2 linked regions of the Drosophila melanogaster genome follow. The protein of the gene in region 1 interacts with the protein of each later gene in a pairwise test. Each region holds a gene or a part of one and is shown on either strand. Other genes may lie near its edges.

Region 1 (7,443 bases):
CACGCCATTCGCGACAAGCTGCCCAAGCTCAAGGCCGCCATTCAGATCCAGGAGCCCTATTCCCCCTACTTGAAGAAGGAGGATGGCTACTACAGGGTGAGTGAGGAACCCTAAAAAGTCTAGGATATATCTAATTTTGTAACTCATCATCCTCAGTGGTCGGAGATCGAGTCGATGAACGTTAGCGACGTGGAGGATCAGTACATGACCCGTTTGGAGAATGTGGCGATCAACGAGTGCTGCTGCCTGGTCTACACCTCCGGAACGGTGGGCATGCCCAAGGGCGTGATGCTCTCCCACGACAACATCACCTTCGATGTGCGCGGCATCGTCAAGGCCATGGACCGTGTGGTGGTTGGGGCGGAGTCGATCGTCTCCTACCTGCCACTTTCGCACGTGGCCGCCCAGACCGTGGACATTTACACCTGCGCCTTTGTGGCGGGCTGCATTTGGTTCGCCGACAAGGATGCGCTGAAGGGAACGCTGGTGAAGTCGTTGCAGGATGCGCGACCCACGCGATTCATGGGCGTGCCGCGTGTGTACGAGAAGTTCCAGGAGCGAATGGTCGCCGTGGCCAGCTCCAGCGGCAGCCTGAAGAAGATGCTCGCCAGCTGGGCCAAGGGCATCACGCTGAAGCACTACATGGTGAGTCAAGGGTAAGTATTCCCCCGATGAGGCCTCTCTTCTTTAAATACTTCAACTTCGACTTTGTGTGCGCATAAATTATGTAAAAAGGATGCACAGTTAAAGTGGCTGCAACGACAGAATTCCACTCGCAAACTCCCATTCCCTGCATTTTACATGGTTCACCCAGCTTTTCGGCCAGCTTCCTGGCCAAGGAAGCCATTGAGGGCCATTAATCATTATATTGAAAAAAGCGCCTTTTAAAAGGAAAAGAAAAATACTAGAAAACAAATTGGTTTAGCTGGTTTAGTTTAGTGTGCTCGTAAAAATTGTTACTTCACTTGGCAACATTTTTTTTTTTTCTGTGTACATGTGTGCCGAGTTTCGGTGTCCGCTAAATTATGCAAGCCAAGCGGGCCGACAGCGCTTCTTAAAGCGAAAATCACTGACAACAACATTACTCATACGTCACGTGGAACAGCTCCCGCTGCTGTTGCTGCTGCTCCTGCTGCTGGTGGTATGTACCAGAAAATAGAAAATGCACGAGGAACAGGACCACGACTAGGAGCAGAGCCAGGACACGCCATGCGGGCACGTCCTCTTAAGTAAAAGCGGGTGAATGGAGAGAACTTCAAGGGAGAAGTGTAGAACTAATAGGGAGTTTCGTTTAAGTGCAGATACTTTTGCAGTGACTGGAGCATTGGGAAACCCAGCAGGCGGTCCAAAATCAAGCGAAAATTAAAAGTAATTGAGGGAAATTTAAAACGAAAGCTTTCGCAATTTTACAAACTATTTATTAATAACTAATAGAATTTATTGCTGACAGAAAATAGTTAGACGAATTCGAACGACTAATTGGCATCATGCTATTGCAGGTGCATTTTGTAATCCTTTGTTTATTGATGTGCGACTAATTCGCAAACACCACACATTCCATTACACATACCCACAATAGCTAACCCCAAACCTTGAACAAAAACTCATCAGGCAACAAAGCTAATTAAACTTTTTGAACACAACTTCTCGCAGCAAGAGCTCCGGGGGATTCCGGTACAAGATTGCCAAGTCGCTCATCATGTCCAAGGTGAAGCAGGCCCTGGGCTTCGATCGCGTCCTTACACTGGCCAGTGCGGCAGCTCCCATGTCGCCGGAGACGAAGAAGTACTTCCTCAGTCTGGACCTAAAGATTGTCGATGCCTTCGGCATGTCAGAAACGGCCGGTTGTCACACCATCTGCCTTCCCGATTCCGTGGGTCTGAACACAATCGGCAAAACTTTGCCCGGCTGCGAGTCCAAGTTCATCAACAAGGATGCCAACGGTCACGGAGAGCTGTGCATCCGAGGACGTCACGTTTTCATGGGCTACATCGACAACAAGGAGAAGACCGAGGAGTCGCTGGATGACGACTGCTGGCTGCATTCCGGTGATTTGGGATTTGTGGATGACAAGGGTTATGTTTCACTGACGGGACGATCCAAGGAGATCATCATTACCGCCGGCGGCGAGAACATACCGCCAGTGCACATCGAGAACACGATCAAGAAGGAGCTGGATGCCATTTCCAATGCCTTTTTGGTGGGCGAGCAGCGCAAATATCTCACTGTTCTGATCACCCTAAAGGTGAGTCTTCAATCGAATCCAATTGGTTGGAAAGTATTTAATTGTTTTTTGATTTCCAGACCGAAGTGGACAAGGATTCCGGTGAGCCGCTGGACGAGCTTAGCCACGAGTCCTCCGTGTGGGTGAAATCGCTGGGAGTGGAGCACAAGACCGTATCGGATATCCTGGCCGCAGGTCCCTGCCCCAAGGTGTGGAAGTCCATCGAGGATGCCATTAAGCGGGCCAACAAGCAGTCCATTTCCAATGCCCAAAAGGTTCAGAAGTTCACCATTCTGCCGCACGACTTCTCCATTCCCACCGGCGAACTTGGACCCACCCTAAAGGTTAAGCGCAACGTTGTGTCCAAGATGTATGCCGATGAGATCGAGAAACTATATGCCTAGATTTCTCACTGCAAGATCGAAACCGATGATAGCCGCGGAACTTGAGCTTTAATGTGAATTTGAATTTAACGGACTTCCAAGCCAATTGAGTGCCACTTTTAATTTGATTTAGGCTGATGTTAACTGTTGGATATTAAACTAAGAACAACTATGGCCCTATGCCTAGGTAGACACGAGCTTGCCAACGATTAGGTCCAGAGATCATTTAATTAGTAACTAAGTTTTATTTTTTATATACTATTTGGTTGTACCAACTGAACAAACGAAAATTGTTTATTGTCTGAAGAGCAACAATAAATTTGTAATTAGATTAACTACCATTTCGGTTGTGATTACTTCAATTGCTTGTTTCAGTATCCTTAGCTTTTGTTATTAAAAAAAATTAATTCACTTTATTAAACATCTCAAACAGTTACATGGCTGATTGATTACCACTGGAGATTCAGATTGGTTAGAAAATGATGCATTTACTCTGAAACTTATGATTCCGGTTCGTTGGCCGCCTCCTCTTCTGCCTCAAGTCCCTTGGCGAGCCGCTCGGCGACACGCTGCATCAGCTCCTCCATGCTCATCTCGATCTGGACGCAGGCACGTCGTCCCGGATCAAATCGCTGCTCATGGCCGCACTGCACCCGTTCGCAACGCAGGCTCAGGCTGAACCAGCTGCTCGCATCCTTGAATCCCGGCCAGCACTCGCACTCGTTGTGGGCCACACAATGGCTGTGCTCCGGACAACCACCCTGGCAGACAGGTCGACAGATGAGCTGGTGGCCAGTGGTGTGGTGGTGCGATGGCTCGTAGCCCCGCTGGCAATGGCAGCGATCCGGCTCCGCACAGTAGCTGTGGGCGGGGCACGCCTCCTGGCAGACTGGCTCACAGAAGCCAAAGAGAATGGTTCGATATCCCGGGCAGCACACCTGGATGTTGTCCCAACGCACCCGTTCCTCGTACACCACATAGCTGTCCAAGTCGATGGGATGGCTGGCATTTGGAGGACCTGCACCCGCCATGCGCGTCTTGGCCACGGGCACCTGATACTTGACACTGATGTTCTTCTGGCAATGACCGTTGGTGATGGCCAGGCTGCTGACCTCCACCAAGTGGATCGTCATCAGGACGAGGACCAGCATGGGATACAGCACTTGTTGCAGCATTGATGCCATTCGCTTCGGTCTGGGTTCTTCAAGATTGTGCGTACGTCGTCGCAAGTGCACTAAACGCAGCAGCCGCAGATTAAAGAGAACCCCAATCCCGATTCTTCTGTTGCTGCTCACTCGGAAAAAATGTGGCATTCCAAAAATTAATCAAAGAAGCTTAACAATAAAATGTGGCTTCAGTTTCATGTGTATATTACTTCAACACATACAGATACAATCTGTGATTTTCTAAACGTTGTAGACTTTATATTACGACCTGTAAAGGTTACTGAAATACAACGAAAATTCTTATTCATTGGAAATAATTAAGAAACTTTCCAGTATCATAGCCAATGTTTATATAACGGAAAACTCACAAACTATAGATATACAGTTAAGTCGCACTTCGTTATGGCTGATATGACTATCCTTTATTACCTTTATTGGTAAATTAGTATTAAAGTTAATAATTCATTCAGTTTTTTTTTGTGTGTGCATCGTGCCGTTCGCAGTCTTAAAAGTAATAAGTATGATAAGTCAGTCTGTGGGTCTGCTATTATTATTTCTTTTTGCATCGCCCGCCGTTCTTATCAACAGCATTGGAAATGTACCAAGACGACCGTTTGGAGAGTGGAGAATCGGCCTTGGGTCGAGCATGTTGGCTCTGGTTGCAGGTGGGTTCGAGACGATCTCAAGAACATGAAATAAAGTATCTGTAACTCATGCGAATAGATTGATGCAACATGCTGGATATTCCCCTTACTCGTACATTAAAGGGGTATACTAGACCCGCTGAATGTTAGCTATGGATGGAACGAATGAATGGATCCTTAAGCCATGTATATCATATATTGTATATTCTTCATTATGATTAGATCTGGTTATTATAAATTTAAAAGAAGCAATATAATTCGAACATACGTAACTATCATCTACACGAAATCAGCTGAGCAAATGAATTTCTTCAAACTGGTTCTAAGTTTAAGCATGCGTATGTAAATACTTCTGCGTCTGCTAACAAGCTCTTACTGCCAAGATTGTATGAACGCATGTAATTACACTAGGGAAAAACTGAATTCGTTTAGAAAATAATTAAATTAATAAAAAAGCTAACATTTAAACCAAGTAATAATAATATAACCTATTTTATAGAAAAAAAGTTTACAAGGGAATGCAAATGAAAAAGTATTGTAAACAGACATCTTGATTATTTACCGCGAATATATTTAAATTTTAGCTATAAATATACAAAATATAAATTATACATAATGCCAACCACGTTAATTTAATTTTTACATACATATGTCAAAATGTGATATTTTTGAGCATTTAGTTTAAATATTAAAGAAGTTTAATTAGCTAGAAAAATACAAATTATATTCAAGTATTTAAAGCTTAGAATTTATTTATAAATAAAAGTGGCTGATTTTAATTTTTCCAAGTGTAAAGCAACATACAACTCGACAGCAAGTCCGTGCTCGTTGGCTAGCCGAGCTCTGATGGATATGCGGATGCTTTCCGTTGCAGAGAGTACGGTTGCTCGGGGTGTACCCATGAGTCTATGGGGCATACGGGTGGCACGGTAGAGTTGTATGTGCCGGGCGGGTTTTGCATATGAGCTTTGTGCGTTTGTGTTGCTCGATATATACAAATAAACATAAGCAGCCAGCAGGCGAGCAGAAACGATTAGCAGGCCGAAAGAGCAGAGGAGCGTGTATGTGGTGTGCAATGCTCGCATGTTGCTGTTGTTGTTGTCCCTGCGACGGCATTGTGTAGTTATGGGTTGTAGGAGTGGCGGGGGGTTGGCCGGGTTGCGGGACGGTTAATGTTACCCCATGAAAGCTAAAACGGTAACGGGCGACGTTCTCACAAATTCGTAGGTATGTAACGTACACATGTTTACATACCCGTCTATCTACATTCTCCACCGTGTGTGTGCGTGATGTGTGTGTGTGTGTGTGTGTGTGTAATGAGCAATAGCACACGAAAGCAAAAAACCAGAAATGTAATAGACGACGTCGAGGAGAGTGTTCAAATATGCAAAGCTGCACCGCAAAGAAATAGAAAAATATAAATAAAATTAGAAAAATGTTTAGGTACTTTAATGCCGAAAACAATAGCTTAAAACGACTCTTTAATAAATGCGACCAAGACACTTTACTTATATTATTACTTATTAATATTATATGAAAAACAAATGTGAATTTGTATTATGCTTAACTTTTCATTTTGTCATATTATTATTAGTATATTTATAACCAGTTTGCCTTGTTTCTCTCTCTGTATGAACATGTGAGTATGTACTACATATGTAATGCCAATCAGCATGTGTGTTGTTGTTGTATGCCGGCCCTGATGACGTAGCCACAACAACCACAGCGAGCTCAGCAGAGCAACAACTTTATTTGTTGTGATTATCGGCTGGCGGCGTTTAGCGAATCGCCAACAGTTGATGCCAGAAAAGTAAGACAAGTGTATGGCACAGTGGCGGTCAAAAAAAAGAGCATACCCTGTGAAAAGTTGTGCCGTGTTCCAAGTTTCAGAAAATTAATACAAATAATGGTGACATAAAGCAACTCTTAAAAAAAGAATCTAGGTTATATACAAATTCTATTTTATAGGATTTGAAGGAGCTAGCAAGTTAATATAAATTTGCAAGTGAGAGTTTTATTTATTTTACAACGAAATATACAATTTTATAAGAATATTTTTCATTGATTTTTTCAGATATTGTACAAACACATTTGGAAAAAGAGTATTTTGTTCTCAATTGACCCCGATATTGTTTTATTTTAATAGTAATTTTTATAAGAGAAATGCAAAGATAGCAAGTGAAAACGTTCCGCTCCACTTGAAGAAATTACAAAAGTCATTGATCATTTTCCATGATCAAGCAGAGGGCACAATCTCCGCTCAATTAACACCATTGTTCATCTAGAAGTGACTTTAGAATTTTCCACTGATCAACAATGACGACAGAAAATCAAGGCATCCCAATCGAAAGGGAGAGTTCGACTCCATATACGGTGCGTGGATGATGGCTGATAAGGCGACGCCGCATTCGATGATAGTGTCAGTAATGATGACTACACTACATGGGGTGCATCTATGCATGGCCCGGTGCCGTAGCACCGACTATCTCCAGGAACTTATCAGCACAAATGCACTCAAGCTGAACTTGTGACACTGCTGACGACAGACTCGAAAAGGGGGTCAACGTCGTACATTAGTTCTTGCTTCACAAATGCATACTAAAGTGCAGATGAGTTTGCATTTTTCTGCTAACTTCTAGTTATTATCACGGTTGTCACCCTACAAATGAATTAAATTGAATTTAAATATTTCGGGGATAAGAAAATTTGAAAATTAATTGTAGATTATTCTAATAATACTCGTGAATTCAAAGGTCAGCAAAGATATATTTTATAGTTAAATAAAATATCAGAGTTTTTCTCTAGTCTGCCTCACTTAACATTTTATTGCTTTACAGACAAACATTTTTCACATCAGAAGGGTATCTAGTAGCCGATGTATGTACTCTTGCGGTTTTCTAGACATGCGACAATTTCGTCGCCTGGACATCGATCTTTGGCAAGACTTCTCATCATTTTCGTGCTAATGCTGGCATTAAAAACAGTTTTAAATACCGGTTGCCATATTGTAATTGCCACTTATGCGG
Region 2 (7,694 bases), on another chromosome or scaffold:
AAATTGAAATCATTTAGTAATTTTGTATTTATATTTACATTTTGAAAGGAAAGGGTGCTTTTTGACTATTTCCCAATTAATTCACTATATTTGCAGACATATTATGTTTTTAATAATTCAATTTAAAATATACATATATATATATATATATATATATTCTTTATTTTCTAAACTGTGCCTAAAGCGCTTCAATAGTTTTGCTTTGCAAAAATGCTGACAAATGGAAATTATTCATTTCATATTTAGTTTCAATTTAAAATCGGTTTCTGGTCATTTGATTTCCACTCATTGCCTTCCTCGTACTGCATTTCATTTTGAATTTTCTTTATTAATCATCTTTAAGAAGATAGATCTTACACAATTTACACAACAGATTTGATTTTATATTTGTTTACATTTTTTTTCAGCTTTGATTTTTATTCAAATTCACATTTCAGCTTAAAATACTGTTGTATTTGATTTCATAAATTTCAACTACAAGTAAAATCGTTTGAATATTTGCTTCATGCATTGCTTCAAATTAAGTCTTTTGTATCACTATTTGTTATACCTTTGTGGATATTTTTTTACTGCCTTCTTTTTCAAGTTATTTTCATTTATTTGTGAATTCTTGGTTTCAATATCAATTTACAGCTTTTGTCAGTTGACGATTTTTGAATCTGAATAAATGGCGAAATTTGCTGGATTTTTCTTGGCCAGAATGCCAATGCATCTGTGAGAACTTGCCCCGTGTGGCGGTTTTGTATCTGTGGATGGACACCCGGGGTATCTATGTTTGTCCCCATGGACGTATGCGTGTTTTTTGTTTTGTTTTGTTTTTTTTTCAATGCGTGTGTGTGTGTGTGTGTGCGTGAGTGAGGGGGTGGCGTGAGTCTGAATACGAATGCGTTATATGCGCCCAACTGGGCAAAAACAATTCGCGCGCCACTTTGCGCCATAAAAAAGCGCGGAGATATTTAATACATATACACTGGGTGACATAGATATATGCACGTAAATGGCGAAAGCTGAGCGCAACGCAACCAAAAACCCATTTTTGCATTTAAAGTTTTGGGCATTTTATTGCCACGGCCCGTTTTGCGGGTAATGGCAAAAAGTATCCTTAGCCGAGGTCCTGCCATGTTGTTTCAATTTCGTCTCTCGAATTTTTTCCGTCGCCTGTTTTTTTTTTTTTTTTTTTGAGCCTTATTTTCCTTCCTTTTGCGGCGTTCGTCGAATGCCCCAGTGAAATATGATAAAAGTCAGACGCGACGCCACGTGGTTCTCGGCTGCGGCGCTTTGCGTTTTGATTTGTGTTGCTGACCCAAAAGAAAAAAAAAAAAGAAAAAAACCAAAAATAATAATAATATTATACGTACAAAGGAGCAAGAATGTAATACATAAAAAACACCGAACGCAGCGACGAAAAAAATGCAGTTTTTAAGTGCACTGCTTATATTTCTTGAACCTTAAACATATTTTCCCTAGAGCATGTCCATATAACTAAAGGAAATAGTTTGTTTCATGGTTATGCAGTAAATGGGTTCATTACTTTTCATTTTAAGATGCACCTTTCTCTTCTAAGAATACAATGAACTTGAGCACTTTTATAGTTATTATTTTTAGTATTTTCCTACGCCTTTGTTGGTTTGTGGGGGAAAAATACCTGCAGATATTAGCAAAAAAGAAAAAAGAGAAAATCATTTTCAGGGTAAAAACACGTGAAACATTGCATACGAACGCTGGAAAGACAAAGCGTTTTTGTGAAATATTTAACTACTTGCCACACTGGCATGCCTTTACATATAACGCATTTGTTCACACTAATTATATGAAATGTAAGGGCAGACTCGCGTCTCGTTTTTTTTTTTTTGCAGTAAGTATTTTTTTATGTGGGATTTAAGTAAAGTTAAAGTTCTTTCGAATCGTTCGCAGCATATTTTCGTAAGCCATACATTTATGAAGACATTTGCGCAATTCACATTTACGGAAATGCGAGATATACATCAGCGTATAGTAACAATTTGAAGGAAAAGCTACAACAAGCCATGAATAACCATCAAGGACTATTTTTCCCTGGCTGATTTAGTGACTTGGGGAGATTTCCGCGAGATTTTCCGGGCCCACTTGGGAACCGCCAACGTAAAATATCAAGGATGCTTATCGACAAATAAATTCTTTGCCCTGTCAAATGCCCTGCACCATCACCAGCACCATGGTCCACAGGCCACAGTTCACAGTCAATGTGGGTGGCACAGGCTCGGCGGTGGTATGTGGCAGGATATAATAAATAGCCTGACATAGTAATGCCACACAGACACTAACTCACAAATGTCGCACTGTTATTGCTGTTGTTGTTGGCCCTTCCAGTCCTCGACCGAAAAGTTGACGCCTATAAAACGGATATGGATGTGCACCAAACTGTGGCATACTTTTCTGACCCCCACCCGACCGAGTGGCACTACCACCATCCACTACCACTTCCACTCGCAGTCGATGTCGCTCCAAAAGTGTTGACAAATTTATGAGCTTGTTTTGCTTTTTCGCAATTTTTGTTCGGCTGATTGAAAGTTTTCTTTATTTTGCCTCCGGGCAAATTGATGACAATTGGAGAGCGGGCCAGACAGCTTAATCGTTCGTGTTCTATATTTAGCTATATATTAATAAAGGCTTTGATTGATTTCGAAAGTAAATCAAAGGGCCGACACAGCTGCATAGTTCAAATTGATCAAAGTAACCCTGTGCTGGCAATATTCGGTCACACTGTTTTGCACGCAACTAATGTTCAACTCAAATATGAATGCTCACTCTTATTTATTGTATAATCGGTGAAATATTTACTTTATTGCTTTGGCATAGTTTACAATTAATTCACACTTGCTTTGCTTCTATGTTCTTTGAAATAGTGAAAAAAAAAAAAATTCTTTAAAGCCAATTTGCTTTGCTTGTGCGCATGGCCACATTGGCAGCAGCAACATCAGTTGCGCCTGGCGTCACAGTTGTTGACGGTACTGGCCAGTCGGCAGGCCTTCAGCTCGCGATCGAACCAGTAGCCGTTGGGGCAGTTCTGGCGCTTCGACCTCTGACGGTTGCACACGTAGTAGCGGCGACAGTGACGCACGTCGGCGAGGAAGGTTCCGTCCTCCTGGCCACGGCAATCGTGGCGCGAGATCAGCACCTGGGCAATAGCAACTGGATTGTCTATATCGGGCTGTTCTTCATTTCCGTCGACAATTGGCCCAGCGTTGTCGCTCTTGGGTGTTGTGCAAACGGTTGTGGTGCAGGGCTTGGTGGTGGTGCACGGTGGGGTGCAGGGAGGAGTGGTGGTGCATGGAGGTGTCCTGGTGCAGGGGGGTGGTGTCCTGGTGCATGGAGGAGGTGTCCTGGTGCATGGAGGTGGTGTCCTGGTGCATGGAGGTGGTGTCCTGGTGCATGGAGGTGGTGTCCTGGTGCACGGTGGTGGTGGTGGTGGTGGTGGAGGTGGTGGTGGTGGTGGGCACGTTGTAGTAATGCACGGAGGTGGTGGTGGTGGGCATGTTGTTGTGGTGCACGGTGGTGGTTCTGGTGGTGGGCATGTTGTTGTGGTGCACGGTGGTGGTTCTGGTGGTGGACATGTTGTTGTGGTGCACGGCGGTGGTGGTGGGCATGTTGTTGTTGTGCACGGATCCGGGGGAGGAGTACACGGTGGGGTATCGGCTCTAGGCGGATGTGCCAAAGCCTCATGACCGCCGGCGATAGTCGCCAAAACTAATCCAATCAGCAGCAAGTGGTCTAGGATAAAGCACAAAAAAAAAAAAAATAAAAATAAGAAGAAACTCCTTGTTTTTTTTTTTTTTTATGGAGGATCTTGGATCGGAGCTACCCACAAACTCTCATGTTGCGTTCGATAATGCCTCTGCAGTTTCAACTTCTCTGCTGGTTAGCGAATGATGTTAGCTGCACTCGGGGCTCTTTTTATATCGCCCAGTTGCAGATTTTATCTGGCTGTGGAACAGGGAAAGCACTTGAGATCTGTTGAGTGGTACATGGTCCATGATCCCCGAGGTTCTCGGCACTCTGCTAATTAACCAAAATTGGTCTGGTTGTAGGTTTTGGGGTATCGTGTTTTGTTCATGTAAGCAAAATGTTTTGTTTTTTACTTCGCAGTTGTTTTATTTTTTGCTGTAATATAATACTTATTCTTTGAGGGGAAAACAATCATGCTTAATGTTCGTTTTCAAATATATATTGTTACATATGTCATTTTTTAGACTTAATACTGTGTTTTTTTGAAAGAGTTTTCCCACAGTGATCTCCATTCGAACATACACTGATGGCATTGACATTTGGCCCGGTTCATTTGGCCATTCCGTACGCAATCTGTAAAATAGTTGAAATTGCCTGTTAACTGATTTCGCAGGCCCGGCCCCCCATTTGCTTTCTGTTCCTTTTTTTTTTTTTGGCAATTGCTTCTTGACTCCGGGCCAGTGCAAACAAGAGATTTCGGTTTATGGCCCCGGACCGGAAGTGTTAGGCCAAGTGGCCATGTGGCCAAGAGGCCATGTGGCCAAGAGCGGATGAGTGGACAAGTGTTGGCCATTTGGCAGTCGATAAAAATGGCAAAGAGCCTAAGGGGGCATCTGTGTGTGGGTATGCGTAATAATTTCGGCATGAAAACCTCCGCATTGCCACTTCCGCCCCTCGGAAAGTCCACCTTGCCTGCAGCGCGGTTGTGAAAACAAAAAACAAAAAGGACCACCATATCCCCGTGTGTCCCGCATATCCTGGACAGCTGGTGGTGTAGGGGGGGCGTTGAAAAGCGCTGGACAGTTGGCAAAAGTTTTGTAATTAAATATGGTTGTTGCAGTTAAGATTTATGAGCGATTTTTATACCAATCACCCAGTGATAGAGAAGTTTACTGGGCCAAGCGAACAGCGATTCATTTTAAAACAAATTCAAATGTAGCACCTATTTTTGTTTAGTATATCTATACATATTTTAATTATTTATTTTAAAAATCTGCTATTGAGCTTTCTCTTATTTATTCACAATTGAATCAAAGCATAGCAATATGACATGGTTTCAAATCTGTCCACATTCAGCTCCATCACGTGATATCCTTGATTTCACCACCCAATCGTGCCCTTTGAACCCTTGCACTGCGATCGTAAATAATTATTTATTTAAACAGTAGAATATTTCCAAACGGCATAAGCAAACAGAATCAATTGTTGTCGCATGGCGAATATTTATGCACGCATTTATATTCCGACATCTGTTTTCGGATTTCGGAGGTGCCCTTTTCAGACTCCTTTTTTTGTTTTACAATTTTTGAGTTGGGTATTGTTGAAGCTGCGAAATGATGTGCATTGGATTTTAATTTATATTCAAAGTGTGGGGAGTGCTTTACAGCCCGCATAAGCCCCGAAAACTTTCAATCGTTATGGTTCAATTGGATTGAGTTAAATTCACTTTGTTTCATTCACTTAGCACTCGTAAAGCTACACCCTCGCCAACAAACACGACTTGGCCATTTGCCGGGCAAAAATTACTCATACGCAGCGTGTGATGTGAATATTAAAAAGCAGCCAAGTTTATGATAAATCCGCCTTTCTTCATCTGCCAGTGTGCTAAAGTGTTTATGTACGCTTTTATATATTTATATAAAGATATATATACATACATACATATATATCTAAATATATGAAGTATATGCGAATAGTTGGCGAAACAATCTCAGATTATGAATGAACTTTGGCCAGTTTGGTTTAGGCGGAGATATGCACAAAATAGTTGAGTTTCTTCTAGATTATGAATGAATCACTTTGCGGCTAAAAAGTTCGCTGTGATTTAGGCGATAGTCGAGCAAACTTTCCAGACGAGAAAGTGGCCCGAAACTTTAAGGAGTTTAATCATTACCAGGGTCTTAAGATTATTTCACTCTTTTGTTCGCCCATAAACTTCAGATTGGTTTTGAAGCATCTATAATAATTATACGTTCACTTAAAAGCTGCTGGAGCAGAAGTAAAAGTTTCCCAGCTTTCTTTCCCATTAAAAACTCTGGGGACAAGCGGCGAGTTCTCGATAAGTTAAGTAAAATGTACAAAATAAAGCGAATGGCATTGGCTCAAAAAGTTTCACCATTGTATCGTTTTTTATAATCCATTAGTCCCCGAAAAGAGTGCATTTTCTGCCTCTACTACTGCATATCTTATCGAGTTACGTTGCAAATTGAATTAAAAATATATATTTTAAGCATTCATGCATTTTTCCGGCAGCTCACACACACACGACAACCGAATTATTTACCCTGCTGCTAAAAGTGGCAGCCTCACCTCGGCCTTTTGTCAGGTTTTCGAGTGGAGACTTTTCAACTTATCTCTGACCATCTCAATGAATTAGTCGAGCAACATAAATTAAGCACTTAGCTGTTGTAAAGTTTTTCCTTAAGCGGAGGCAGCTTCCTTCGTAAAAGATGACCTCGCCCAACAGAAGACAAACAGAGACACGGCTCAATGGAAATGCCCTTCTTTCTTCTCACACACACTTGCCCAACCACCAGACCGAGATGAAGAATGGGAAATTAAATTAAGCACACACTCACACACACACACATGACTGTTTGTCCAAGGAAGGATTGGATTTAAGGACTGTTTGTGCAAGGACATTGTATCAACAATTTCCAGGGCTCGAGACTCTGTGCTACGGGGCATTGTAAAACTCATTAGTGAAGTGACCGGAAATCTTATGAAATCTACAAGAAAAAGTAAGAACCAAAGTAACAACGAAACCGAAAATAAAATACAAGCTAAAAGTCTTACGATCACTATGGGAAAAATATATACAAAATACAAATACATATATATATATAGTAACGATCATTTTAGATATCATTATACAAAGCTAAATTAAGCGAAAACCTAATCATATATCGCAATTATTTTTTAAAATGTGTAGAATATTAATCAATGAAATTTTGTGAAATTTTTTTTTTAGGGTTCTTACTCGTGTAAAGTGTTTTGGGAATAGTTTATGCTATGTTTTTCTCTCCGTGTGGACGAGAACTCTTCAGGATGGTCGAGTGGGTGGTGGCCTGTGACAGGTTGGAGCAGTCATGCATGTACTTCAATTTTTCAGCAGAAATGAGTGCACATTTGACAAAACACACACTCGCTCACACCTTTCGGTGAGCCCTGGAGCCAGAAGGCGAATCCCTGCAGGACATATGTCCTGTTCCCAGTTCCCAGTCCCTTGTTCCTTGTTTCCCCTGTCTCCTGTCCCCCGTACCATATCCACTTTACATGCTTTTTTATCAGCTGCCGCTCGGAGCGGGCCAAACTTCAGGCACGAAAATATATGAAAACTTTGCACAAATATGTCCTGTCTATCCCGTACGTGTGTGTGTGTGTGTGTGTGTGTGTGTGCGTGCCGCTGTCAGTGTATGGGTGTGTCTATGGTAGCCTAATTCCTGCTCATATTTTATAACAGCAGCAGAATCACTGCATCGGACTACACGGTTTTCTGCCAAGACAGCAAAATAGACCAACAGACAGCGGTACAGAAAAAATAAAACTATGAAAGCTGCAAAAACAAAAAAAAACAAAAAATGGTAAAGATCCGAAAAAAAACCTGTAAACAAGACAGACCTGGACAGGAAACAAACTGTGTGGGAACTACGTGCGCCACGGGTATGGGTTAAAATCGGGCGATGACTGAGCCGAATGAGCTGTAGTGG

The links. The genes of interacting proteins can lie anywhere in the genome.
Region 2: the proteins of NimC3 (region 1) and CG34324 interact in a two-hybrid assay, tested with the Drosophila melanogaster proteins (one large-scale study listed by BioGRID).

Annotation. Positions count from the first base shown.
Region 1 is NT_033779.5:14,016,382-14,023,824, forward strand, and holds NimC3 (nimrod C3), read right to left. Parts: upstream 3,828-7,443; 5' UTR 3,783-3,827; coding exon 3,108-3,782; 3' UTR 2,976-3,107; downstream 1-2,975. Other genes in the region: bgm (bubblegum), read left to right, coding at 1-96, 157-656, 1,654-2,245, 2,305-2,628.
Region 2 is NC_004354.4:13,453,757-13,461,450, forward strand, and holds CG34324 (uncharacterized protein), read right to left. Parts: upstream 3,908-7,694; 5' UTR 3,856-3,907; coding exon 3,846-3,855; intron 3,751-3,845; coding exon 2,957-3,750; 3' UTR 2,778-2,956; downstream 1-2,777.